Macaca mulatta: one gene and its partners. The main gene of each other region encodes a partner of the protein of the gene in region 7 in a complex. Links are inferred from orthologs where the notes say so. Each region holds a gene or a part of one and is shown on either strand. Other genes may lie near its edges. The genes, in order: TUBGCP3, TUBGCP4, MZT1, TUBG2, NME7, TUBGCP5 and TUBGCP6.

Region 1 (3,500 bases), on a different chromosome or scaffold from region 7:
ATGATTTTGCAGGTACTATGGAAATTACAGAAGCAGCTCTGGTAAGGGACATTTTGTACGTCTTTCAGGGCATAGACGGCAAAAATATCAAAATGAACAACACTGAAAATTGTTACAAAGTAGAAGGAAAGGTACGGTCACATAAAATCTAATTTAAAATATTCAGAAAGAAAAAAAATGTCATGAAGTCCAGATAGTGAGCTGTTGATTGATAAGGTGGTACTGGGATTTTGCGAATCGAGTGTGAGGTGGAATTCCACTGTGGAATCCTGGTTTCTATTTCTGTCCATTGTGCTCGTTCAGTTTTATTATGGGGACCCTTTGTGATTAATGTGTGCCTCCTTTCCTCGCATCTACTGATGGGGCCGCCCCATAGCTGATTTCTGCATCCTGCTGTGTGATGGCTGAGGCATCCAGGGGACAGAGGTCCCTTGGCGCCTTCAGCATTGATGCAGGATTCCAGGTCAGGGGTCTTCACCCACTTTTGCTTCCTTTTTCCATAACCTGCCTTTACCATGCCCATTTCTTGTGGTGTGAGTCACACTGGGGCTTTTAGCCCTTTCACAGCGTAACTGAGATCACAGACCATCTCTGCCACACCGCAGGTCAACTGCAGGGTGGTGTGAAGGGAGCTCATGGTGCCCTTTGAGGTGCTTTCCATCACGCTGTCACTTGATGTGCTTTCCTTCCTTTTAGTGATGGGATCTTAGTTTTAACTTTTATGTCTTGAAGCCTAAGGATTATAATATTAAAAGCGTAAGTGTTTGAGAAAAATACTAGTTAAAACTCTGGTATTGACTTTTAATGTTTAACATATGATGTATTTACCTTTTAGGCAAATCTAAGTAGGTCTTTGAGAGACACAGCAGTCAGGCTCTCTGAGTTGGGATGGTTGCATAATAAAATCAGAAGATACACGGACCAGAGGAGCCTGGACCGCTCATTCGGACTCGTTGGGCAGGTGTGTTCATGGTTCCTAGGATGCTGGGATGCCGCGTACTTTGGGAAACGCTTATTCTAGTTGAAATCTTACTGAGAAATAGCTCCTCCTACGGCTCTTTCCAAGTAAAGCAACTTTGAGAGTCAATTGTCAGGGTCCACTCAAGAAAGTAGAAACCACAGTAGGTGCTGATGAGGACATTGAATGCAGCAGGTTGGCTCAGGAGCTGCTGGAGGACTGTAAACCACAGAGAAAATGGTGAGACAGAGCTGGCCATGGGGAGCTGGCATTGCCCGATTCCAAACGCTCAAGGGGGGCCCTGCCCAGCTGCTGCTGCCTCCTCCGGAAGGTGGAGGAGGGGCCCTGCTGGGATGGGGCCTGCTAACAGGGGACACTCCCAGCTGCGTGACTCCCCAGGCAGCACGGTGAGGCAGGATTTGGGAACACTGCTGAAGCTGGAGATGGGAATCCGGCTATGGCTGTCTGGACAGCCCTGGGTGGGCACTGCCGGTGGCACAGTGCATGGCTGGGAGGGAGCTGCTGCTGCTTCTCCTCCTGGTGGAGCCTGACAGGGGGCAGCCGACAGGAGCTGTGGCATCTCCACTGTCCAGCCCTTCTTCGTGGCTAAGCAGCATGTGGTCTTGTCCATAGGTTGCTTATTGGACAGTAATTACTGTCAATGAAATCTCCAAAAATTACTGACTCACAAAATAACTGTGTACTATAAGCCCAGCATAGCACAGGACTCATGGCAGTGTAGCTGGTGAGTAGGAGTGTGGCTAGGGGGTAGGAATGTGACTGGTGGGTAGGAGTGTGGTGCTGCAGTGTGGCTGGTGGGCAGGAACATGACCGGTGGATAAGAATGTGGTTGGTGAGTAGACACGTGGTGTGGCAGTGTGGCTAGTGGGTAAGAACATAGCTGTTGATTAGGCGTGTAGTGTGGAAGTGTGGCTGGTGGGGAGGAGCATGGCTGGTGGGTAAGAATGTGGCTGGTGAGTAGGAGCACGGCCAGTGGGTGGGAATGTGGCTGGCGAGTGGGAGTGTGGGTGCTGGGTAAGAATGTGTGGCTGGTGAGTAGACGAGTAGTGTGGCAGTGTGGCTGGTGAGTAGGAGCCTGGGCGGTAGGTGGGAGCCTGACTGGTGTGTAAGAATGTGGCTGGTGGGAAGGAGTGTGGCTGGTGGGAAGGAGCATGGCTGATGGGGAAGAACGTGACTGGTGGGGAGGAGCATGGCTGGTGGATGGGAGTGTGGCTGGTGGGGAGGAGCGTGGCTGGTGGGTGGGAGTGTGGCTGGTGGGGAAGAGCATGAGCATGGCTGGTGGGGAGGAGCGTGGCTGGTGGGTGGGAGTGTGGCTGGTGGGTGGGAGTGTGGCTGGTGGGGAGAGCGTGGCTGGTGGGTAGGAGTGTGGCTGGTGGGGAGGAGGATGAGCATGGCTGGTGGGGAGGAGCGTGGCTGGTGGGGAGGAGCATGAGCATGGCTGGTGGGGAAGAGTGTAGCTGGTGGGTAGGAGCATGAGCATGGCTGGTGGGGAAGAGTGTAGCTGGTGGGTGGGAGTGTGGCTGGTGGGGAGGTGCGTGGCTGGTGGGGAAGAACGTGGTGGGTGAGTAGGCCTGTGGTGTGGCAGTGTGGCTGGCGGGGAGGAGCGTGGCTGGTGGGTGAGAACGTGGTGGGTGAGTAGGCCTGTGGTGTGGCAGTGTGGCTGGTGGGGAGGAGCGTGGCTGGTGGGGAGGAGCGTGCCTAGTGGATAGGAGTGTGCTGTGGCAGCATGGCTGCTGAGTAGGAGTCACACTTTGAGCTTTGAAGCAAGGCAGCCCAGGGTTCCAGTTTGGACTTCTCCTTTAATGGTCACGTCATCTTGCACAGGTTATCTTCTGTTGGCCACAAGTTTCGTCCTGCGTAGAGTGGAGTAGTGATTACCTCCAGATTGTGAAGATGGGGAGAGAATGCGTATAAAGATGCTGCTCCCCAGGCTAGGACTGTTTTCTATTCTGTTTCCCAGTCTAGTGAGTTGCTCGATGACCAGCCACCATTCTCCTTCATTGCAAAGGCAGAGAGAAGTGAGCTGGCTCTTTCTTGAGGCAGGTGGGACTGATGGGCCATCCCCTCAGCAGCCAGCTGTGATTTTAGAGTCCCTGTCCCCTTTATCGAAGGGAGTGTTTGATCGTGTCTCGGTTTATATCATCATCTTATGCAAGTGTCACTGATAAGTCCTAGTTAACTTGGTAGACATGAAGCAAGACACACACACAAAATCAATACAAGATAACGAAATAAACCGTTATGTAGATACTTTATTACAGGAGGTGGATTGATCATCACTATAGTAGTATCATATTATGTGTTAGAGCAGGGGTCCCAGCTCCTGAGCTGTGGACCGGTACTGGTTCGTGGCCTGTTAGGAACTGAGCCGCACAGCAGGAGGTGAGTGGAGGGTGAGCAGGCGTGACCGCCCGAGCTCTGCCTCCTGTCAGATCAGTGACGGCGTTAGTTTCATAGGACGTGAACCCTGTTGTGAACCGTGCATTCGAGGGATCTAGGTTGTGTGCTTCTTATGAGAATC
Region 2 (3,500 bases), on a different chromosome or scaffold from region 7:
GGCTATGCCTAGTTCAGTGAAGTGTCCACCCCTTGACCAACTGATGGCCATTTCCATTCATACTGCATGAATAGAGTTGAGTAAAGATCCAAAAAAAGAAATGTGAGAAAATACATACACACAGGCTGATCATTTTTCTAACTCAGTAAAACCATAGATGTCCACTGTACTTACATAGTACAAATATAAGTACTTGTGGTTGCAAATATCAGAAAATCCAATTCAAACTCACTTAAGCAAAGCAAAAGGAAAGAAATAATGTATCGATTCTCATAACTGTAAAGCTCAGACGTATGATGGTTTTCGGCAAAGTTTGATCCAGTGACGCGGGTGGCACCTTTAGGACTTGGTCTCTTTCCATCTTTCACCTCTTTCTTCTCAGACAGGCCTGCTCTGTATGGTAGCAGATAGTCTCTAGCCAAGTTTACATCCTACTAAGCCCCTGTTTATCTTGAAAAAAGAGCTGGATTCTTTTAGAGTCTGAATAGAGCCTCTGGATTGGCCTGGCTTGGTCATGTTAATATCCCTAAACAATATAGCATAACAGAGTAGAGTATTACGTTCTATTTGATCATGCCTACATCACCCAGCTACCCCTAGAATCGGGTGTTGTCTAGCACTAACCCACTGGAAATATGTGAACTGTACTGAATAGGGATGATTCTCCAAGGAAAATCAGGAGGCAGTTTGTCAGCAAGAAGAGAAGAATGGATGGATGTTAGACAAATGCAACAGATGTCCACTGTGCCCTGCTGTTAGCACTGGGCATGTTGGGGGAGAAGTGGAAAGCTGGAGGAGTCTGGGTTTGTTACGGAGCCAAGCATCCTTGTCAGCCCCCGTGTTCTTTCTTGCAGATGTGAATGTGGCCTTTCAACAGTCAGCACACAAGGTTTTGCTAGATGATGACAACCTTCTCCCTCTGTTGCACTTGACAATTGAGTATCACGGAAAGGAGCACAAAGGTTTGCTGTTCCTCCCTGTCACCTTAGAGTTCCTGCTGGTCATCCATTTTCCCATCTCTGCTTCCATCCCCCACCATAGAAACCATATGATTTTGGATCTTAGAAATCAGGTAATGCAGTACTATAATTCTATAGAGAAGAAAAGGAAAGTCCAGAAGTCCATAGAGGCTAAGCGCGATGCCCAGGCCATGTTTTTGGGGGGTTGGGTTTTTTTTTGTCATGCTGCTGGAATGGTCCCTGTTTATTTCCAGCCCCCAGATTTTTTTTTTTTTTTTTTTTTTTTGAGACGGAGTCTTGCTGTGTTGCCCAGGCTGGAGTGCAGTGGCCGGATCTCAGCTCATTGCAAGCTCCGCCTCCCGGGTTTTTACGCCATTCTCCTGCCTCAGCCTCCCGAGTAGCTGGGACTACAGGCGCCCACCACCTCGCCCGGCTAGTTTTTTGTATTTTTTAGTAGAGACGGGGTTTCACCGTGTTAGCCAGGATGGTCTTGAACTCCTGACGTCGTGATCCGCCCGTCTCGGCCTCCCAAAGTGCTGGGATTACAGGCTTGAGCCACCGCGCCCGGCCCAGCCCCCAGATTTTAAGGCTGAGGAAAGAATCTCTAGAAGACCTCCCAAGAGAACCTCACGTAAAAGTGTCCTTGCCCTCTTCTTTGTGTCCGCTGTAAGCTTCTAACATCGCAGACTCCAGTGAGCTCTGTTTCTTTTCTTTTGGAGACGGAGTCTCATTCTGTTGCCCAGGCTGGAGTTCTGTGGCACAATCTTGGCTCACTACAACCTCTGCCTTCCAGGTTCAAATAATTCTCATGCCTCAGCCCCCTGAGTAGCTGGGACTACAGCCACCACGCCCAGCTAATTTTTGTATTTTTAGTAGAGACAGGGTTTCACTGTATTGCCCAGGCTGGTCTTGAACTCCTGTGAGCTCTAGTTTCATTAATGTTATTCACTTGTTGAATCTCTGGTTCTAGATTAACCAAGTTGTTATCTTTTCTTTTTTTCTTTTCTTTTCTTTATCACAGCAGATGCTACTCAGGCAAGAGAAGGGCCTTCTCGGGAAACTTCTCCCCGGGAAGCCCCTGCATCTGGCTGGGCAGCCCTAGGTCTTTCCTACAAAGTACAGTGGCCACTACATATTCTCTTCACCCCAGCTGTCCTGGAAAAGTGAGTATTTCTGAGTGTCTCACAGGTAAATAACGACCCACCTTACTTGTAAGGGAAGAAACTAGCAGGACAGAATTAGCAAGGTGTGGTGGCACATGCCTGAAATCCCAGCTACTCCAGAGCCTGAGGCAGGAGGATCCCTTAAACCGAGGATTTCAAATCCATCCTAGGCAGCGTAGTGAGACTCCATCTCGTAAAAAAAAAAAAAGAATTAATGGGAGCAAGATAGCCACCCAAGTAGTTTTTAACAATATGTAAATCAAAAGTTGTCAACCCCTCCAGGGACTAGACTGATCACATTCATAAGTGGAGCTGCAGATACGAGACACGGAGTGGTGGGTGTTAGAATCAATGGAGAGCATATCTACTTCAAACCATCGTTTTTTTAAATTGCCAAATCAGCAGCAGTTTGTAGGCCGCCAGTTTGTGAGCTCTGGAAAATAAGGTCTCAGGCACCATGTCGAGATAATGGCCCTTGATAATTCCATCACACCTGACAAGGTCTCTCCCTCACTTTTGTAATATTTTTTGTTGATTGACTTGGGAAAGTCCTCCAGCCTGCATGTTTGCTGTGGATGTTAGCCCCTGGGGAGAAGACTGCCTCTGTAAGGGAGAGCCGACAGGGGCAGCCAAGCTTGGGGGTGGAACAAAGGAGCTGACCAAGCTGGAGTCTCCTGCTGTCAGGTCAGCCTCGCTCTTTATCATGAGAGCCTGCCAAGTGCTGTTGCTTGCCTTGGTCAGGACCTAATGTCCCCAAACCAGAGATCTACAGAAAAGAGGTAAGAAGCAAATGTGGCTGGTGGTCACACCGTATCTAGGAACTTCCCAAACCCAACTACTGGTCAGAGAACTGGCCCCTGGCCTGGATGGAGGATTGAAGCTGTCATACTCTGTGAAGCCAGAGGAATGAAGAAAAGGGAAACAAAAAGGCCATCTCTTCTTCTAGCCGCCACTCTTGATCCTTCCTATTCTTCTTCCTAGCCCTCTCTACTTGTTTCAGGTAGAGAAGCTTAGGGTAAAATAGACTGGGCATAAACTGGAAAAGATGAGGCTGGTTCAGGAAGAAGATTCTATGGCAAATTCAGAGCCCACGGCCCAGCTAAGCAAGTGGCATGGACCCTGTGCAAAGAACTTCCAAAGATCCTTAGCTCCCAGAATCCTACAGGCCCACAGTCCGCTTACCTCCTAACTTGATATGCTCTCAACACCCTTGAAGAAATCAAGTTTAGATGTATTTTTTCATTTTCATTATAAAAATTTCTAAATATAAACAAAAGTATAGACCATAACAAAATCGTGTGTCCTCATTATTCACCTTCAGTAACCATCAACATTATACTACTATTATCTGTCCCTCCCCCACGTTTTTGTTAGAGCT
Region 3 (4,164 bases), on a different chromosome or scaffold from region 7:
AATAATCACTAGGACTTTCAAAAGGATTTAAAACAGGGATCCTTCCTGGAGTTTCTGGTGTTATTTGCATTTTAGATTCCTTGACATCTCCCATAGCACAGAGAGAAAACTAAAGAGAAATCAAGAGTACATATGTTAAAATTACAAAGTCCCATAGATATTAATTTTACCTATTAAAATGTATTCGACAAATGTGTCACAAAAACAACTCAAAACCTAACACTCTTGGGGCTATGATACAGCTTATGAAAAAAGTATCACATATAAATGTTCTCAACTGATCCTCGAAATAACCTTGAAAGCTATAGCAGTAAGTTATTAGTGATATTATTCTGTGAAAGAATTAACAAGCTCAGAGAAGTGAAGTGGCTTATACGCAGCAATCAAATATGAATTCAGATCTAAAGGTTACAACAGGCACAAATCTCTTCTCAACTAAAGGACTTATAGCTACAATTTTTTTAAAATTCATCATCTCACGTCTCAACACTATGAACATTCTTCGGATACCCCATCCAACTACAGTTGCTATTAAACAATTCTTTGTAGCAAGCAGGTAAGAGATGCAGAAGCTTGTGCCTTTCTTACACATGAGTCCTAGCCAGAGAAGTATGATTGACAGGGGCTAGGAAATTAACTGCCTTGAATCCCCTTTCCTCCAAAAATCCTCCTTTCGCCAAGACCTCCCCCTCACCCCTCCCAGGATAGAAAGCGACTCTGCATTATTTCCAATCAAAGGAGGCTACAACTTGGCGGGGTGGGGTGGAGAAGAGTCTACTTCTGTAAGGTTGAGATGCAGCCGGCTTCCTCGGACGGAGCGCCGAGGAGGCGTCGCCCCCCACCCTACGTGGCCACTCTTTCTGGTGCCCCTGTCTTCCACACCTACTCCCTGACTGCTCCCATTCACCAGGGGCCAGCGGGCAGGCAAGTCAGGAGCTGGGAAAAGAAACCTCTCCATTCGGACAGGAGGAAAGGTCAGGGACCATAAAAAACCTACCTACCGGTGCGTAGAAAACGAAGCCCCCAATACCGACTACAGGGAGCTCCCGGGGGCCAAGCCAGCTTCCACGTCAGGCACAGACTCTTTAACTCCCCGCTTCCGCGCTGTCTTGGGCCAACCAGGGCACGGGGCTTGTGAGCGACTGGCCAATCGCGTCGTCCCGCCATCCGCGAACCAACCAATTGCACGGAGGCCGCGTAGAAAATTCGAATAGCAACTCCTGGCTCCACGTTCCGCGCAGAGGAACGAGGCTCCAAATTCAAATCAACGCAGCCTCACGCCGGCGGCGAGCGCGAGGGGCGGAGCCTGCCCGGCGTGAGCGGAGACGCGCCGTGTGATTGCCCGGGAGAGAGGAAGGCGCTCCAGTTCCGGGTCAGGCCCTTCTCCCGCCTCCCTCGGCCTTAGCCATGGCGAGTAGCAGCGGCGCTGGGGGGGCGGCGGCGGCCGCGGCGGCGAATCTGAATGCGGTGCGGGAGACCATGGACGGTGAGTGTCAGTTGCGCTCCTTTTACGTTGCCTGCCTTCCCAGAGCCAAGGCCCCCAGGCGGAGCTGAGCCTGGGGAGGACTTCAGGTCCCCTTCGTGCCCCAAACGGCATCTTCGAAGATCTTTGGAAGGGACCTGCCAGGGCCGCAGGACTGATGGCCCTATCCCTTGAGAGTTGTCTCCGCCGCTGCGTAGTTTGTCGCGCGCGCCAGACGTTGCGGCCCCCTAGTCAGCCGGTTGCGCACCGCGTCCTTCTCGCGCGAATGCCGCGCCCCTTCTATCCCGCGTCCCAGGTCCGCCCTACCCGCCCGATCTCCTGCGGTGACAGCGCCACGCCCACCCCACCCAGTACACCCGTTCCCTCCTGCGCGCCGCGTCCCACCGGATTCCCGCGCAGGGCGCTTCGGGGGTCCCCAAGGTTGGGATCCCCAAGGTTGGGATCCTGGCGGGGACAGGGGCCAGGTGTTTGGTCACCGCTATGCCTCGTGTTCTTCGCACTTAAGTAGGCGGCCTTTAATATCCTGCGAATGATTAAGTTCCCCCCTTCGTCAGAATTATCCTAGTTTCCTCTTGAAGCGGGTGACGCCAGTGCCCAAGTGCTATGGGTGTCGCCTGTTTTCGGCCCTGGAGCCTACACAAGCTCTGGAGCCTACACAAGCGTTGCAGAACACGAAATTAGTGTCTTGCCGATTACCTTCTCTCTACTCTCTAATGCCACTTTATAACCCTGTGGTGAGCTTGGACTAGATACTTAAACATTGAGCCTGTTTGTTTAAAATAAAATCCTGCCTCCAAGAGTTGTGAATATTTAAATAAGACAACCATGTAAAAATATATCAAAGATGATCAATTATTTTTATATTATTTCCGATGTCATCTCTCTTGTAGTCTCCTTTGTCTCCTTTTTACTCACATCCACCTGTATTATGAGTGTTTGATCGATGTTAAATGTCATTTGCAGTGGGCCTAGACGTTTTCCAGAGGCTACTTAAGTCAGCTTCCCTCTCTGTTAAAAGATAACCCTATGAAATTCTAACTCCTGTATCTCTTTCTCCTTCACTGTAGGCTTTTTTTTTTTTTTTTTTTTTTGAGATGGAGTCATGCTGTGGTTGCCCAGGCTGGAGTGCAGTGGCGCAACCTCAGCTCACTGCAACCTCCGCCTCCTGTGTTCAGGCAACTCTTCCCACCCTCAGCCTCCAGAGTAGCTGGTATTACAGGTGCCCGCTACCACACCTGGCTAATTTTTTTTTTATTTTTAGTAGAGACGGAGTTTCGCCATGTTGGCCAGGTTGGTCTCGAACTCTTGACTTCAGGTGATCCACCCACCTGGGCTCCCAAAGTGCTAGGATTACAGGTGTGAGCCACCACACCCGGCCTCATTTTCTTACATAGCCCCTGCAGAAGGGCTGCTGGCTTTTTCTGCACTGGCTGCTCGTTCCTTTTTCAAAGAATTAACATTTTTAGAGACTTTGCATCTAATTTTTCACTTGTTCAGTATCTACCTTGCTGTTTTTCTGAGAATGTTAATATTCAGCCTATTTTTCTATCCTTTTCGATGTATCAACACTTACTAGTTTTATTTTGTAAGTGAATTTATGCATGTGTATGTGTGTGTGTGTGTGTGTGTGTGTGTCTGTGTGTATAAAAATTTACTATCTTGTATGTTTCCTTGGAAAAAGGTAGAGTAAAAGACCTCACTTCTAGCCTGTTTTCTTATGTTAGCTGTACTTAGGTTCCTTATGTATATGGTCGTAGGATCCTATTTGAATAGAAAACTCACATTTTCTCTCTGGTGGAACCACTGATGTACAATTGAGAACTGATGATTTGTGTTGGCTACATCATCAAGATCTTTTCTGAGAAAACCTGGTGTAAAATGAAGATTATAGAGAGAATAAGAGCATGAAAAAGTGAAGTAAAACAAAAAATGAAGGAGAGGGGATGTGGTGTTTCACAGTATTTAAATCAACCCATGAGATCAAAAGTGAAATTTTCAAAACTTTGAGTACCATTTCTCCTCTCAATGGCAGGATTTGTGAACCCCCCCTTTAAGTCATATGAATTGCAGAACTCTTGGCTACATTTGCATTTTGATCATGAAATGGAAGGATTTTGTTAAAGACATGGGAGGCAGCAGGCTGACTTTGTATTAATCAGTTATCTGTGTAGCTCACTCTGAAAAGAACTATCCCTGCCTATTTAGAATACGGTCTGCATGAGATCTTTGCTTTCATCCTTATATCCTTAAAATTCTGCATTCTCTTAAAATAGTCGTGCCTTTTCAACAACACCCCCCGCCCAACCCACTGTGTATGGTTGCCTCCTTTGCTTTTCAGTTTTTTGATATGTTAGGTATTCTCTGTTGATTGCTTTATACTTTAATTTTTGTTTTCCTCTCAAATCATCCTATGCATCTGAATTTTAATTTTGATAGTTATTCCTTACGAGAGTCTTTATCATAACACTTACTTTTTTTTTTGAGACTGAGTCTGGCTGGAGTGTAGTGGCGTGATCTTGGCTTACTGCAACCTCTGCCTCCCAGGTTCAAGCTGGGGATAGGACCCAATTCTCCTGCCTCAGTCTCTGGAGTAACTGGGATTATAGGCGCCCGCCACCATGCCTGGCTAATTTTTGTATTTTTAGTAGACACAGGGTTTCACCATGTTGGCCAGGCTGGTC
Region 4 (2,397 bases), on a different chromosome or scaffold from region 7:
CTCTCTGTGGTCTCCCCAGAGCCAAGCACAGTGTATGGCACATGTGGGTACTCACGGGTTTGTTTACTGCCCTGCGTAGTCTGAGAGTATCTCATGATGCCCCAGAAACAGTACTTTTCTTTCTGTTATTTTTTATGTATATTTTTTACAGAGATGGCATCTTGCTGTGTTGCTTAGGCTGGTGTCCAACTCCCGGCCTCAAGTGATCCTCCCACATTGGCCTCCCAAACGGCAGGGATTACAGGCATGAGCCACCACGTCCAGCAGTACTTTTTTTTAAACTAACAAACCTACTTCTTGGCTTTGGAGTTCAGCAGGGGCTAAGCCAATATCTTATTTCTATGCCCATTTTATCCTCAAGATGCTGTGACCCTCTTCTGTCCCCGTAGGTGGTGCTGGACAACACAGCCCTGAACCGGATTGCCACAGACCGCCTGCACATCCAGAACCCGTCCTTCTCCCAGATCAACCAGCTGGTGGGCCCCCACTCCTGGACTCCTTTGGACTGGAAGCCCTCCTTGCTGGAGGGTCATCTGGGGAAGGAAAGTCCCAACCAGGCCGAGGCCCATGACATGGCACGCCTGTCCCCAGGTGTCCACCATCATGTCTGCCAGCACCACCACTCTGCGCTACCCCGGCTACATGAACAATGACCTCATCGGCCTCATCGCCTCGCTCATTCCCACCCCACGGCTCCACTTCCTCATGACCGGCTACACACCGCTCACTACGGACCAATCAGTAAGAGCAGCCTTCAGTGTCCCAGGCCAGGCCGGCCCTGGGCCCAGCAGGCCCTGCCCTAGCCTTTCTGTCTTCCCCACTGCCCCAGGAGCTGCCCTTTGCGGGCCCCGAGGCACTGTGCTCAGGGACTTTCTTGCTGACTTGCGCTCTACCCTCCCTCTGCCTTTGGCTTCTGCCAAGGAGAAGCCAAAGGGGGACTCTGCCCTGAGCGCTGGCCGGGTTCCTGTCTCACTGTCCCATCAGGTGGCCAGCGTGAGGAAGACCACGGTCCTGGATGTGATGAGGCGGCTGCTGCAGCCCAAGAACGTGATGGTGTCCACAGGCCGAGACCGCCAGACCAACCACTGCTACATCGCCATCCTCAACATCATCCAGGGAGAGGTGGACCCCACCCAGGTAGGGGAGGCCCCTTCATCCCGCACCCTGGACCCGCAGGGGTAGAGGAGAGGCCACCTCCACTGCTCGTGTGCCCACCCCAGGTCCACAAGAGCCTGCAGAGGATTCGGGAACGGAAGTTGGCCAACTTCATCCCGTGGGGCCCCGCCAGCATCCAAGTGGCCCTATCGAGGAAGTCTCCCTACCTGCCCTCGGCCCACCGGGTCAGTGGGCTCATGATGGCCAACCACACCAGCATCTCCTCGGTGAGTCTAGGTTTCTGTTCTTCTCAGGAAGAGTCTGTTCCACTGGCTACCTTCATCATCTTCCCCAAGTTCACTCCTAACCCCCTGGCTCGCATTTTGGAGATTTTCATCTCTTTCAGCTCTTTGAAAGTTCCTGCCAGCAGTTCGACAAGCTGCGGAAGCGGGATGCCTTCCTTGAGCAGTTCCGTAAGGAGGACATGTTCAAGGACAACTTTGATGAGATGGACAGGTCTAGGGAGGTTGTTCAGGAGCTCATTGATGAGTACCATGCAGCCACCCAGCCAGACTACATTTCCTGGGGCACCCAGGAGCAGTGATTTCCCTCCCCACTACTCCTGGATGGGAAGCACAGCCTCGACCATGCCTGCTCCCTCTGACCCAACTTCACCTCATGGACAACCCTTCTTGGTTCATCTCCAGCCCATGAGCTTCCTCCTGCTTCCTCCCTTCCATGCCCTAACTCTTGATATGCTTGTTCAGCTTTAATAAAGTAATAAAGCTTGGTTGTCAGTATAGCCAGGGCTTGATCTGTGAATACAGGGGGTGGTGAAGGGGTCCAGTTTCTAGGCCTCTGACAGTAGGGTGGCTTTCACGTCCTCCAACGTCTTACCACTAAGTCCAAATCTTAGTGTGTTCACTGTTTCCACTGGCATCCCTCACCTTGAACTAAGCTGTTTTACTAGAGTCAGCCCTTGTCTCAAGATTACAGAGCTTTACTGAGGTTTGCTGTCTCCTCAGTGCCTAAGGTTTGCCCCAGTGAGGGTCAATGTTGCCCCAACCTCTTCCACTCAAGGCAGAGGAGGTGGGGTCTACCGAAGGAGGGCACGCTACATTACGAGCAGGCCAGAAGAGCCGAGACTCCAGATTCCCAGTGCCCAGGGCCATGAGAGTTCCAGGAACTCAATCCAGTTCAACCTAACCTGATTAGTAGAAACAGAATTCAAGAGTAGGGCTGAGCACATCCTGAGTTACTTTTCTGTGCCAGAGAAATTCATGGGTTTGTTATCTGCCCCAA
Region 5 (3,500 bases), on a different chromosome or scaffold from region 7:
TAAAAAGAATCCCCAAATTTACCCTAACCAGAGCATCAGATGGCAAATCCAGAATTAGCAATAAAACTCCTAGATTCCCTTCTTCCCTATGCTTTTATTTGCTTATTATAATGAAGGGCCTTTGGGGCGAGGGTATTTTTACTAACATATATAATGGGAAATCCTGCTCGATAGTCAAGGGAAAAGGACCCATCTTTGACTTATTTTTTTTCATTTTTTGCTCTCTGTGGTAGCCCTAAGAATGTACTTCACAGACCTCCAACTACAGGCAACCTAAATGACCAAGGGTCCCAGCTGCTGTTCTCTGAAATCCACTGCTGCTTTTGTGCTGAGCACTTGTTTCCCAAAGGCTGCTCCCAGCCAGTGATTGAGAGGAACAGGGATACTAAAGCTGGCCCCTCCGTGTCCTTGGGAGTCACCTGGCTCTAGCACTTCCTGATGGGCTTACTGAACCTTCCTTAGAGGGTGTAGCAATCTGGGATGATTCTACTTAACCTTGCTTGCACCTCTCCACCACTCTGTGTCAAACTTGCATTGTTTTTTGTCAGCTTTTCTAGTCTTCCTTGGCTCCCTCCTCATTTTATATTACAGGAATTTTCCTTAATGAAATTCTTGCATGTTCAGTCTTGTCTTCACATTTATTTTCAGAGGTCCTAGACTAACACATTCTCTATTTCTATAAAAAGATACTATCATATGTAATTACTAAGGAAAAAAGATGTTTACTATAATTTTAATGGTAATATTCTGATACTACTAGATTCTCAAATTTAGGGAAGTCAAAACTTCATATAATTGAGAGCTATCCTCAGAAATGTATGCTTATATTAATTTATTGATAGTCTCTATGTAAACTTGCTTTCAGAAGGACTGAATTGCTACCACAGTAAAATCAGGAGCTCATGTTCTCAGAAAATGTTAATTTACTCAGGATGATTAGATGGCTATAAAGTAATAAGCAATCCATAAGTCATCTCTGAGATATGAGAAATTAAAAGGAAATATTTCTGAGGGTGTGTTGATAACTGATATTTTGTTGAAAAGCAGAAAAATTCAATACAATAGGTAGGAGTAAGTTTGTTTTTTGCAAATTGGTAATTCTTGCTTTCATTTTGTGTGACTTACAGGAGAGTGCTTGTTCTTTATATGTTAGTGTTAAAATTCTTCTGTCTTTCTTTGCAGAGTCATAGTGAAAGATTCGTTTTCATTGCAGAGTGGTATGATCCAAATGCTTCACTTCTTCGACGTTATGAGCTTTTATTTTACCCAGGGGATGGATCTGTTGAAATGGTAAATAAGTCTTTCTTTGCTTGAATGTCGGCAAAGGGGGTGAACATGGGAACCATTGCCTTTTATATAATTGCTTTTTAAAAACACATTTATATGTGTGTGTGTGTGTGTATATATATGGAAATTCTTTTTAAAGATATTCATTATAATTTCAATATAAGAAGTTAACTTGTGCCTTTACTTTTAATGTCAAAGATAGGAAATTTTTTTTGTTGTTGTTAGAAGACTGAAGTGGGGGTCGGGCACGGTGACTCATGCCTGTAATCCCAGCACTTTGGGAGGCTGAGGTGGGCGGATTACTTGAGGTCAGGAGTTCGAGACTAGCCTGACCAACATGGTGAAAACCTGTCTTTACTAAAAATACACAAAATTAGCCGGGTGTGGTGGTACATGCCTGTCATCCCACCTACTCGGGAGGCTGAGGCAGGAGAATGGCTTGAACTCAGGAGGTGGAGGTTGCAGTGAGCTGAGATCATGCCACCGCACTCCAGCCTGGGGGACAGAATGAGCCTCTATCTCAAAAAAAAAAAAAAAAAGAAAAGAAAAAAAAAAGACTGAAATGGGATTATTCATGTTTTGGATAAGAAATAACCAATAAGTGATTATAGATAAGGATTATTATGGTCATAAATATGTCCTCATTATTGAAAGCTGTTACTGCTACAAAAAGTCAAATTGAGAGGATCAAGCTAAGAGGCTTCTGTTTATTTCTTTGTGTTTCTTCATTGGCAACACAATTTTAACAAGTGGATCTTTTTGGTATTGGGATTTTGTGTACACAAAAAAGCAGAAATTTGGGTGTATGACTCTTTCTTTAGCATTTTGTAAGGACTACTGAAATGATTTGGTAATAAACAGATCTTTCTATTCAGGGTTTTAAGAGTATTAAATGTGTAATAAAAAGCTTTTATGTTATTACCAGATTGGATTCAGAAATATGGAAGTAATTAAAAATTATGATTTATATTTGTAACAAAAAAGAAACAGAATATAACTTATCTTTGATAAGACAGAATTAAGAATTATTTCTACCTTATGATAAGATTAACTTTCCTTATTCATAAATTTTGTTTGTTTGTTTGTTATATTCTTGTGTCTGGTTCTAGCATGATGTAAAGAATCATCGCACCTTTTTAAAGCGGACCAAATATGATAGCCTGCACTTGGAAGATTTATTTATAGGCAACAAAGTGAATGTCTTTTCTCGACAATTGGTATTAATTGACTATGGGGATCAATATACAGCTCGCCAGCTGGGCAGTAGGAAAGAAAAGTAAGAAAACAATTATATAATCTTTTTACATTTTGTAACTTTGGGTTCAAAGTCAATCTGAATCAAGACTGGGAGTATTTAACCATATGAGGATGGATAGGACCTGGAAAATGGTTGTCTTCATTCTGTCTTTTTCTTTTTTTCAATTAAAAAAAATTGATAATATCATAGTTGTACATGTCTCATCTGACTTAATTCATATTTATGTCTCCTATGCAACTTAGTACATCTCAGAGATACAGTCATCTGTAAAAGGGGCTAAGAAAAAAACGGAAGTGAGAAAGAACAACTTGTAGATACAGCTGAAAATTAGACTTATAGAAAACAAGGACTTCTGATGTTTTCCTTCTGAATATTGATTTTCAGTATTTTCAAGATGACTTTTTAACTTTTAAATTCTCTACATTTATGAATTTCAACTTTCTGAGATTAGAATTAATTATATTTGAAATGAAAATTTAAGTCCTTTGTCATCTCTTTTGGATCTAATTTCTGTAGCTTATATTTTGTATGGTTTGGGGACTTTTTTTTTTTTAACTGTAGAGTGATTGGTGCTATAATTAAAATAGGGATTATTTGTAGAAGTTAAGGCTATATGTATAAAAGGTTCCAAAAATGATTTAATTCAATAGGAAAAACAAATCAGTCACACTATTTTTTGAGATCTGCTACTCAAATGACTAGTTGATTGCCTAACATCTGAGTCACTCTCATAGTAATGAGATATCTCTTTCTGTGACTTCCATAGTCTTTCTGTATAAGCACTTTATGGTTCTTGAGGTGATTGGATTCTCAGTGTGGGTGTTAGTACACAAAGGGTGATGGATCAGAGGGGTGGTGAATGCCTCGTAACAAAGGAAGACCAAACACTTTCTTTGAAATAGGATAAAAATTACAGGTATTAGATAAATAAACAGGAATCTTTTAATGTTGTGGG
Region 6 (4,001 bases), on a different chromosome or scaffold from region 7:
CAACACAATAAATGTCTTATAAAATAAACTCACAGCTAGTATTATACTAAATGGGAAAAAAACTGAAAGCCTTTTCTCTGATCTGGAACAAAACAAGGATACTCATTTTCACCACTTATTCAACATAGTACTCAAAGTTTTAACCAGAGCAATTGGACCACAGAAAGAAACAAAAAGCATGCATATTAGAAAGAAAGTCAAACTGTCGTTGTTTGTAGATGATGTGACTTTATATTTAAACAAACCCAAAGATTCGTCCAAAAAACTGTTAGCACTTATAAATGAATTCAGTAAAGTTTCAGGACACCGCCGGGTGCGGTGGCTCATGCCTGTAATCCCAACACTTTGGGAGGCTGAGGTGGATGGATCACTTGAGGTCAGGAGTTGAGACCAGCCTGGCCAACATGGCGAAACCCCGTCCCTACTAAAAAATTCAAAAATTAGCCTGGCGTGGTGGCACACGCCATTTGTGGTTATGAAGTCCCCCAGAACCTCTGGCCAGGTGTGGTTGTGAAGTCCTCCCAGCACCTCTGGCCAGGTGTGGTTGTGATGTCCCCCAAGCAGCTCTGGCCAAGTGGGGTTATGAAGTCCCCATTCCCAGTACCTTCGGCCAGGTGGGGTTATGAAGTCCCCCCAACCGCCCCTGAGGAGCAGGCGGAGTAAAAGCGAGCCGGGACTGCTAGCCGGTCGGGACCGCTGCTTCGCTGATGCTGGTTGTGTAGCACGGATGTGCGTAGCGTGATTGTGTTGTGTGGATGGGGGCACTGAGATCCGCGGGGACCATCACTGCAAGGAGAAGCTGCATGGCCGGGAGAGTTCAGCAGCTGAGCGGGTCAGGGTTCCTGGAAAGGCAGGTCCCAACGCATTTCCCGACCGGGCACCTAACGGGCTGCTCTCAAAAGCACTGACTATCACCGAGGCTGGCCAGAGACCCTTAAGTATCTAATTCACGATGACACCAACTAACTCTGAGTACAGTAGAAAATGTACAGTCGGGCGACCAGAATATGCACACTCGAGCCGCCACCATGGGACTGCTCCAGGCAGTACCCACCACAGCAGGAGCTCGAACTGTCGCGAGAATAACTGCCAGCTTGCTAGTTGCCCGGCACGGGAAGGCGAACTCTCGCGAGAAGGCCGCCAGCTTCGGGGGCAACTGCCGCGGGACCTCGAACTCTCGCGCGACAGCAACCAATTCGTTAGAAGCGCGTTGCAGGCGCGCGAAACATGGCGCGGCACGGGCCGCCGTTGAGCTGGCTGGACGCGCAGCAGGAGCGCGACGTGCGGGAGCTCGTCCGGGGTGTCGCCGGCCTCCCGGACGAAGCAGACCCCAACTTCCAGCTCGCCCTAAACTTCGCCTGGTCCAACTTCAGGTGTGGGGCGCGGCGCGCGAGCGGGTCCCGGGACACAGCCCGGAGCCCGCGCGTGGGTCCGGCGCAGCCCGGGGTCGGGGTGCGCTGGGGCGGGGCATGGGGCTGAGGCGGACGCGGTCTCAGAGAGCCCTCGCAGGCCCTGCCGCCGCCCACTCCCCCCGGCCAGCGCCCTCGGCGCGGTGCTCTGCGCACCCCACGGTGTGTTACCTGGAACGCGTCCTGATCGTCACGGGGGGAAGCGCGGAACTGGGTTTCTTGCCACCGGGGCGCGCTCCTGCAACCCAGCGCTCTGGGAGGCCGCAGGCGGGACTCGAGGCCAGCCTGGGCAACGTAGCAACTCCATCTCTATAATTTTTTATTTTATTTTATTTTATTTTAATTAAAGAGATTGTATTCTCACTGACTCCTGCTCCCTGGTCAGCCCAGTGTAAGGTCTCTCTCACCCTGCTCTCCTTTTTACAAAACGCGTGTCATGACATTGATTTTACCTGTTATGACTGTCTCCTCCGCTTCCACTCCAACTAGAATGCTGCATCTCTGCACAGCGCCTGACAACGTAGCAGGCTTAGTCAGCTAATGCAATTTCTAATGCAGTTTCTCTTGTAACTAGTTTTTAAAGACTTACAGAATTTAGATGTATACGTGGAGTGAGATCTATTTTTCTTTATGGGAGAGGGAAATTAAACAATACTTTTATAGTCATTACCCATAATGAAATTACTAAGAGAATGTTAATGTTAATATTCTACCTGTTTAATTTCAGTAAAAATCTTGAATAATGAACAGTTTTTTAAAATCCGTAATTTTAGTTACTTTAATGATCATAGTCATAAAGTGTCTAGTTGGCTTATAATAGGAATACGGGGCTTTCATATTCTTTTAAAGCATGCCGAGTTTCCGAAGTAATAAACTGAATTCTTAAATGTGACTTACAAAAATAAACAATGTGTGAAATAGGTTATACAACACAAAAACTTAAATGCTGAAATTCAAGTTTTTTTTACTAATATTTCTAAATGACAGTAGGCAGATGGTCATCATTTTAGAGGTGGGAGAGACATTAGAGGTTACTGTTTCCATTCACAGGTTTCAGGAACTAAATTATAATAGGTAAAGTGGTGTACCATTCACCCATTTACTGGACTAGATTCATGTGTTTCTCAGTATTGTAATTTTTTTCTTTTAAGTACAGATTGCTGGCTTTGATACTAAAAAATGGGAAACAATTTTTGCATAGGCTATGTTATATACATATACATTAGTTGCATAGGCTATGCTATAATTTTATGATGCTTTAAACCATCAGAAAAATGAATAGTTCATGTTTACATTGTTGAAAATTGTGGCCATTGGCCGGGCGCGGTGGCTCAAGCCTGTAATCCCAGCACTTTGGGAGGCCGAGACGGGCGGATCACGAGGTCAGGAGATCGAGACCATCCTGGCTAACACGGTGAAACCCCGTCTCTACTACAAAATACAAAAAAACTAGCCGGGCGAGGTGGCGGGCGCCTGTAGTCCCAGCTACTCGGGAGGCTGAGGCAGGAGAATGGCGTGAACCCGGGAGGCGGAGCTTGCAGTGAGCTGAGATCCGGCCACTGCACTCCAGCCTGGGCGACAGAGCGAGACTCCGTCTCAAAAAAAAAAAAAAAAAAAAAAAAAATTGTGGCCATTTAGAATTCTAGGCCCTAGAAATTCAAAGATGAGTAAGATATAGCCTCTGTCTTTAAAAAAAGACAGAGATAAAAGGGATTTTAACCTTGGGATCTGGAGATATAATTCAGATATTTGTTAATTTGGATGAGGAAAAAATTATACTAATCTCTAACTGAAAAGTAGCATCTCCTTCCATTATAAATGAAGGCAGCAAACCATAGTAGTATTAGCCTACCTGTGACTTTATCGCCAGTAGAATTCACATACTGTTTTCACATCAGAGTTGTAGATATTTGTAAATGTTGTTTACTGTTACTTTAATGGTAGTTATTGTACCTACTGCTAAATCTTGTTATTTAATACTTTCATAAATAACATTTCTTGCCATATCATAAACTTCTTGAAATATTTGACAACTGTACCCCAGTATAATTGGATTCCTTTGTATTTCGTTTTTGGCATTTAAAAACATTATTCAGAGAAGGGATCCTTAGGCTTCAGTGGGCCTCACTATAGCATAAAAAGATTGGGACCACCTGATGTAGAATGTGTTCAGCTGGATTTAGATACAGGGTCTTATGGGAAGACAGAGGAGCCAGAGCCAAGGTTGGGAGGGTCAGGAAGCACCTGTGTGCTGGAGAACGGTTGCTTGCACAGTCTCGGACATGGTGATTATTTGCCTGTCTTGGTGGAGGTAACTGAAGACAAGGTACACTCCATTCTGGAAGTGTGTAGCTGAGTACAGAGCATATGGGGGATGTGGAGGGCCATGAGATGAGTTCACTTACCTGTGTGACAGAGTTGGCATAAGAATTGCATTTTGTCTTTATTAGATTTCATCGTTTCTTGGATGTGAACAGCCACAAAATAGAAAAAACAATAGAAGGGTAAGTCAGTGTATGTATGTACACATCCTAAAATACATGTATTTTCTTATAGATCTTTTTAAGATAGCTTTATAATCATTGTTTTTAT
Region 7 (4,124 bases):
TGTGGCTGAACATCGGGGGCAAGGAGGCAGCCGCCCTATCCATGTTCCATGTTGCCACGCCACTGCCAGTGGTGAGTGACCACGCCCCGCAGCAAGGCAGGTGCTGGGGAGCCCATGGATGTGTGCCGCTGCTGCTTGCTGGCATGTCATGATAGCAGGCCTCTGGTCCTTCCTGTCTCCCTGCTCCTGCTCCAGGGGTCCTGAGATTGAGAGGTTGGGGGGCCAGAGCCAGCAGGTGTCTGTAGATGAGGAGCTGGGCTCTGCTGTCCCCACAGATGACTGGTGGCTTCCTGAGCTGCATCTTGGGCTTGGTACTGCCCCTGGCCTATGGCTTCCAGCCTGACCTGGTGCTAGTGGCGCTAGGGCCTGGCCATGGCCTGCAGGGCCCCCACGCTGCACTCCTGGCTGCCATGCTTCGGGGACTGGCAGGGGGCCGAGTCCTGGCCCTCCTGGAGGAGGTAAGCTGGGCAGGGTGGAGGTGCTGTGGGGTGGGATGAGGGGAAGGACCAATGACTGCTTCCGTCTTCGCCCCTGGCCCAGGACTCCACACCCCAGCTAGCAGGGATCCTGGCCCGGGTGCTGCGTGGAGAGGCACCTCCTAGCCTAGGCCCTTCCTCTGTGGCCTCCCCGGAGGACGTCCAGGCTCTGATGTACCTGAGAGGGCAGCTGGAGCCTCAGTGGAAGATGCTGCAGGTGAGGCTGATTGCGGAGGCATGGCTCTGCCCTGGGGCCCGGCTCTGCCGCAGAGGTCGGTGGGGAGGGCAGGGCAAGTGAGTGCTGAGAACCAGCTCCAGTGCAGGAGGCCAGCTGCGCGCCTCCTCCCGGCTCCTCCTCCTGTAGTGCCGTCCTCACCTGGTGGTTTGAAATCGGCCAAGGTGGGTGCATTTACGCCGCAGAAATGACACCGCACGCCAGCGCCTCGCTGCCGCGATCCGGACCCCAAGCCCGCGGCTCCCACGACTCCGGGGCACGGAACCCCGCCCCCTCCCACCCCCGTCCCCTCCCACCCGTGCTTCCCCCGCTCCACCCCTCACTTCGCCTCGCCCCGCCCCACCCATCGCGCCCTGGCCCGTCCCATCCGAGCCCATGCAACCCACCCTCGGTCCCGTTCCGGCCCCTGCGCCCCGTTGCCCTTCCCTCCCCGCCCTTGCGCCGTTAGTAAACATGGGTCAAACGAAACCCTGGTTTTGCCTCCTTTACTGAACACGCTGGCCTCGATCTCTCAACCGCTGTGCGGGACTCAGGCCGGAAGTGCGCCGCGGCCCGGGTCTCACTTTCACGCGCAGCCGGCGTTCCCGTGACGTATTTCCGGCGCGCCCGCCCTAGCGCTCTTCACGCTCGCGCTGCTGTGACGCGACGGAGGCGGCGGGAGCGGGAGCGGTGGGCTTTTTCCACAGGTGACGCCTGGAGAACGGGTGGACGTGCAGGCCGGGAACCACCCGGCTGCGCCCCCACACTCTCCGCTGCCCACGAGTCTCGGAGTGGCACCCTCTCCTGGTCGTCTCCTCTCGTGGGGCCCGAAGAACGGGGCAAAGCCGAGTTCGTGCGCTGTACTGCGCGGGCGCGCGTTTCGTTCTTCGGGTTTGCCATGGTTCTGTGACTCCCTAAAGGTTGAGGGCTACTGAATTGGAAGAAACGCCAAGCTGGCTTCTGGGGGGCTGCCGGGCGCCGGGCAGCGTGCTTGGGCTGGGGAGGGCAGGGCGTGTTTACTCTGAGTAGAGCAACCGCAAAACCTCCTTTAGAAAATACCCGTTCTGAGCTGCGGCGTTGGAGAGGCCGCCTGTCGTTCAGCCCCTTCAGACCCTCTCTCACTCCGTCTTCCGGAGCGTGAGTGAAGCCCGGGTGAGGTGTTTTCCCACACGCCGGGGGCCCGGAGCTGAGAAGGGGCATGGCCAGCATCACGCAGCTGTTCGACGACCTGTGTGAGGCCCTCCTGCCGGCTGCCAAGACTCACCTGGGCCAGCGCAGTGTGAACCGGAAGAGGGCAAAGCGGAGCCTCAAGAAGGTGGCCTACAATGCGCTTTTCACAAATCTTTTTCAAGATGAGACTCAACAGCTGCAGCCTGACATGTCAAAACTACCAGCGAGAAACAAGATCCTCATGTTGTCCTTTGACTTGAGAGTGGGTGGCCTGGGCCTCGAGGCCGACCGTCTGGAGGAGCTTGTGGAGGAGCTTGAAGCAGCCCCTTGCTGTCCGCTTTTGGAGGTGGGGTCTGTTTTGGACCTCCTGGTTCAGCTGGCAGGGAGTGGTCCCCCTCAACTTCTGCCGAGAAATCGAGACTACTTCCTTAACAACAAGCACGTGGGGAGAAACGTTCCGTATAGCGGCTATGATTGCGACCACCTGAGTGTGTTTGAGACGGACGTTCAGTCTCTGATCTCCAGAGAAGAGTGTTTGTGTCACAGCATGATCCAGGAAACACTTCAGGTTATGGAGGCTGCTCCAGGCACCGGCCTGCCCACCGTCGGGCTCTTCTCATTTGGTGACTCTTGTGGTGACAGGTTTGAGAGAGACACCCGGGTCTCGCTCTTCGGGGCCCTTGTGCACAGCCGCACTGACGACATGGACGTCCGACTGGGCCTGCCCCCCGTGCCAGACAATGCAGACCTCTCTGGGCTGGCCATTAAGGTAGAATGTTTGGTTTTTCCTCTTTCACCTTTCTTGGGGTTTGGAAAATGCTTTCTGTGACTTTCTTTTTTTTTTTTTTTTTTTTTTTTTTTTTTTTCAGACAGGGTCTCTGTCACTCAGGCTGGAGTGCAGTGGCGTGATCTTGGCTCACTGCAACCTCCACCTCCTGGGCTCAAGCAATTCTCGTACCTCAGCCTCCCGAGTAGCTGGAATTACAGTCACCTGCCTCCACGCCCGGCTAATTTTTTTTTTTTGGAGATGGAGTCTCGCTCTGTTGCCCAGGCTGGAGTGCAGTGGTGTGATCTCGGCTCACTGTAACCTCCACCTCCCAGGGTCAAGTAGTTCTCCTCCCTCAGCCTCTTGCATAGCTGGGATTACAGGCGTGAGCCACCACGCCCAACTAATTTTTGTATTTTTAGTAGAGACGGGGTTTCACCATGTTGGCCAGGCTGGTCTCCAACTCCTGACCTCAGTTGATCCACCCACCTCGGCCTCCCAAAGTGCTGGAATTAAGGTCACTGCGCCTGGCCCAGTGACCTTCCTTTTATCCTGGTAAAAGGGGGGATAGTCTGGTGGCTGCATTGTGGGGTGGGGCTACTGGAGTGGACTTACTGGCGGCCACCCTGCTCTGCAAGGACAGTGCTGCCCACCTGCCGGCCAAAGCAACGTGCTGCTTTTCATCTTTACCTAACGGGGCATGTCATTAAGCCTCCTCTGCCTTCTAGAGCTGCCATTTAAATTTAAGTTAATTAAAACAAAATAAAAAATTCAGTTCCTCAGCCCCACAAGCCACATTTCAAGTGCTCAGTAGCCACGTGTGGCAAAAGTGTTCACGTTTTGTGATACGTGCAATTGGATATGCTTTTGCTGTCTGTTGCCTGAGGCTTTCCAACATGGTCCCGTGTAGCTCCTCATTTGAGTTTTGTATTTTCTTGCTTTATCAGTGTTGCCCAAAGGATACATTGTTACTAGTCATTCTATTCCTGTGAGATAGCTAGACAATTTATAAACATACCTAATGCTACAGCAAATGTCTTGGTGTACAGCAGTTTTGTGTTTTGTTTTTGAGACAAGTCTCGCTCTATTGCCCAGGCTGGAGTGCGATGGTGTGGTCTCGGCTCACTGCAACCTCCATCTCCTGGGTTCAAGTGATTCTCCTGCCTCAGCCTCCTGAGTATCTGGGACTCCAGGCGTGTGTCACCATACCCAGCTAATTTTTATATTTTTTTGTATTTGTATTTTTTTAAATTTGATTTGATTTTTTTTTTTTTTTTTTTTTGAGACAGAGCCTTGCTCTGTTGCCCAGGCTGGAGTGCGGTGGCACGATCTTGGCTCACTGCAAGCTCCGCCTCCCAAGTTCACGCCATTCTCCCACCTCAGCCTCCCGAGTAGCTGGGACTACAGGCGCCCGCCACCACGCCTGGCTAATTTTTTGTGTTTTTAGTAGAGACGGGGTTTCACTGTGTTAGCCAGGATGGTCTCAATCTCCTGAGCT

What was found.
Region 1: the proteins of TUBGCP6 (region 7) and TUBGCP3 are in contact, whole or in part, in a cryo-EM structure (PDB 6X0U), measured with the Homo sapiens proteins. The link is inferred for Macaca mulatta from reciprocal best matches to the Homo sapiens genes TUBGCP6 and TUBGCP3. Residues at the interface, in NP_065194.3 of Homo sapiens: Pro65, Arg67, Asn68, Leu71, Met72, Ser74, Phe75, Asp76, Arg78, Asp87, Glu90, Asp151; in NP_006313.1 of Homo sapiens: Pro9, Asn10, Val11, Leu13, Gln14, Glu25, Ala26, Ala29, Gln30, Phe32, Gln33, Val36, Arg37, Ile39, Gly40, Ser41, Phe43, Thr129.
Region 2: the proteins of TUBGCP6 (region 7) and TUBGCP4 are in contact, whole or in part, in a cryo-EM structure (PDB 7QJE), measured with the Homo sapiens proteins. The link is inferred for Macaca mulatta from reciprocal best matches to the Homo sapiens genes TUBGCP6 and TUBGCP4. Residues at the interface, in NP_065194.3 of Homo sapiens: Leu312, Thr313, Ala315, Gly316, Arg317, Ala319, Phe320, Phe323, Leu326, His327, Glu349, Pro390, Glu391, Ser392, Ser395, Leu396, Glu399, Tyr403, Ser455, Leu456, Leu457, Thr458, Gly460, Phe461, Lys464, Lys465, Arg468, Arg471, Tyr472, Glu475; in NP_001273343.1 of Homo sapiens: Met1, Ile2, His3, Glu4, Leu6, Leu7, Ser10, Gly11, Tyr12, Pro13, Gly14, Ser15, Ile16, Gln29, Phe31, Pro32, Phe33, Leu34, His35, Pro36, Glu38, Thr56, Ile59, Glu60, Thr63, Val66, Gln67, Gln68, Ile84, Arg87.
Region 3: the proteins of TUBGCP6 (region 7) and MZT1 are in contact, whole or in part, in a crystal structure (PDB 6M33), measured with the Homo sapiens proteins. The link is inferred for Macaca mulatta from reciprocal best matches to the Homo sapiens genes TUBGCP6 and MZT1. Residues at the interface, in NP_065194.3 of Homo sapiens: Met1, Ala2, Ile4, Leu7, Phe8, Asp10, Leu11, Cys12, Ala14, Leu15, Pro17, Ala33, Leu37, Val40, Ala41, Ala44, Leu45, Asn48, Ile70, Leu73, Lys85, Arg88, Leu89, Leu92, Val93, Glu95, Leu96, Leu104, Leu105, Ser109; in NP_001065243.1 of Homo sapiens: Asn17, Ala20, Val21, Thr24, Val27, Leu28, Glu30, Ile31, Ser32, Ile34, Leu35, Asn36, Thr37, Leu39, Glu42, Thr43, Leu44, Ile46, Cys47, Arg49, Leu50, Cys51, Glu52, Gln53, Ile55, Asn56, Pro57, Glu58, Ala59, Leu60.
Region 4: TUBGCP6 (region 7) and TUBG2 share a complex: the UniProt entries of both Homo sapiens proteins name them as parts of the gamma-tubulin ring complex. The link is inferred for Macaca mulatta from reciprocal best matches to the Homo sapiens genes TUBGCP6 and TUBG2.
Region 5: TUBGCP6 (region 7) and NME7 share a complex: the UniProt entries of both Homo sapiens proteins name them as parts of the gamma-tubulin ring complex. The link is inferred for Macaca mulatta from reciprocal best matches to the Homo sapiens genes TUBGCP6 and NME7.
Region 6: the proteins of TUBGCP6 (region 7) and TUBGCP5 are in contact, whole or in part, in a cryo-EM structure (PDB 7QJE), measured with the Homo sapiens proteins. The link is inferred for Macaca mulatta from reciprocal best matches to the Homo sapiens genes TUBGCP6 and TUBGCP5. Residues at the interface, in NP_065194.3 of Homo sapiens: Glu290, Ala291, Ser292, Lys293, Arg294, Arg295, Cys296, Trp297, Glu298, Arg299, Val300, Gly301, Cys302, Pro303, Pro304, His306, Arg307, Glu308, Glu309, Pro310, Tyr311, Leu312, Glu314, Lys322, Arg325, Leu326; in NP_443135.3 of Homo sapiens: Asp211, Asp212, Arg213, Trp215, Leu216, His219, Val220, Val221, His222, Trp225, Ser230, Phe232, Pro233, His234, Leu238, His239, Ser240, Asn241, Leu242, Leu264, Val265, Thr266, Glu267, Thr268, Gln269, Arg272, Val302, Thr303, His304, Leu305.

What each region holds. Positions count from the first base shown.
Region 1 is NC_133422.1:106,822,195-106,825,694, reverse strand, and holds part of TUBGCP3 (gamma-tubulin complex component 3), read left to right. Parts: intron 1-12; coding exon 13-131; intron 132-835; coding exon 836-961; intron 962-3,500. UniProt on the Homo sapiens protein: Component of the gamma-tubulin ring complex (gTuRC) which mediates microtubule nucleation.
Region 2 is NC_133412.1:20,780,586-20,784,085, forward strand, and holds part of TUBGCP4 (gamma-tubulin complex component 4), read left to right. Parts: intron 1-854; coding exon 855-962; intron 963-1,980; coding exon 1,981-2,122; intron 2,123-3,500. UniProt on the Homo sapiens protein: Component of the gamma-tubulin ring complex (gTuRC) which mediates microtubule nucleation.
Region 3 is NC_133422.1:67,480,684-67,484,847, reverse strand, and holds the start of MZT1 (mitotic-spindle organizing protein 1), read left to right. Parts: upstream 1-1,364; 5' UTR 1,365-1,407; coding exon 1,408-1,486; intron 1,487-4,164. Other genes in the region: BORA (protein aurora borealis), read right to left, coding at 1-94. UniProt on the Homo sapiens protein: Required for the recruitment and the assembly of the gamma-tubulin ring complex (gTuRC) at the centrosome.
Region 4 is NC_133421.1:67,018,198-67,020,594, forward strand, and holds the end of TUBG2 (tubulin gamma-2 chain), read left to right. Parts: intron 1-389; coding exon 390-476; intron 477-591; coding exon 592-741; coding exon of another isoform or gene 742-750; intron 751-984; coding exon 985-1,137; intron 1,138-1,220; coding exon 1,221-1,382; intron 1,383-1,501; coding exon 1,502-1,699; 3' UTR 1,700-1,897; downstream 1,898-2,397. UniProt on the Homo sapiens protein: Tubulin is the major constituent of microtubules, protein filaments consisting of alpha- and beta-tubulin heterodimers. Gamma-tubulin is a key component of the gamma-tubulin ring complex (gTuRC) which mediates microtubule nucleation.
Region 5 is NC_133406.1:26,835,409-26,838,908, reverse strand, and holds part of NME7 (nucleoside diphosphate kinase homolog 7), read left to right. Parts: intron 1-1,182; coding exon 1,183-1,290; intron 1,291-2,396; coding exon 2,397-2,563; intron 2,564-3,500. UniProt on the Homo sapiens protein: Possesses an intrinsic kinase activity. Displays 3'-5' exonuclease activity with a preference for single-stranded DNA. Does not seem to have nucleoside diphosphate kinase activity.
Region 6 is NC_133412.1:1,315,522-1,319,522, forward strand, and holds the start of TUBGCP5 (gamma-tubulin complex component 5), read left to right. Parts: upstream 1-1,201; 5' UTR 1,202-1,227; coding exon 1,228-1,373; intron 1,374-1,580; exon of another isoform or gene 1,581-1,708; intron 1,709-1,781; exon of another isoform or gene 1,782-1,800; intron 1,801-3,859; coding exon 3,860-3,913; intron 3,914-4,001. UniProt on the Homo sapiens protein: Component of the gamma-tubulin ring complex (gTuRC) which mediates microtubule nucleation.
Region 7 is NC_133415.1:1,202,569-1,206,692, forward strand, and holds the start of TUBGCP6 (gamma-tubulin complex component 6), read left to right. Parts: upstream 1-1,324; 5' UTR 1,325-1,888; coding exon 1,889-2,629; intron 2,630-4,124. Other genes in the region: polyamine deacetylase HDAC10, read left to right, coding at 1-71, 276-458, 541-693, 876-902. UniProt on the Homo sapiens protein: Component of the gamma-tubulin ring complex (gTuRC) which mediates microtubule nucleation.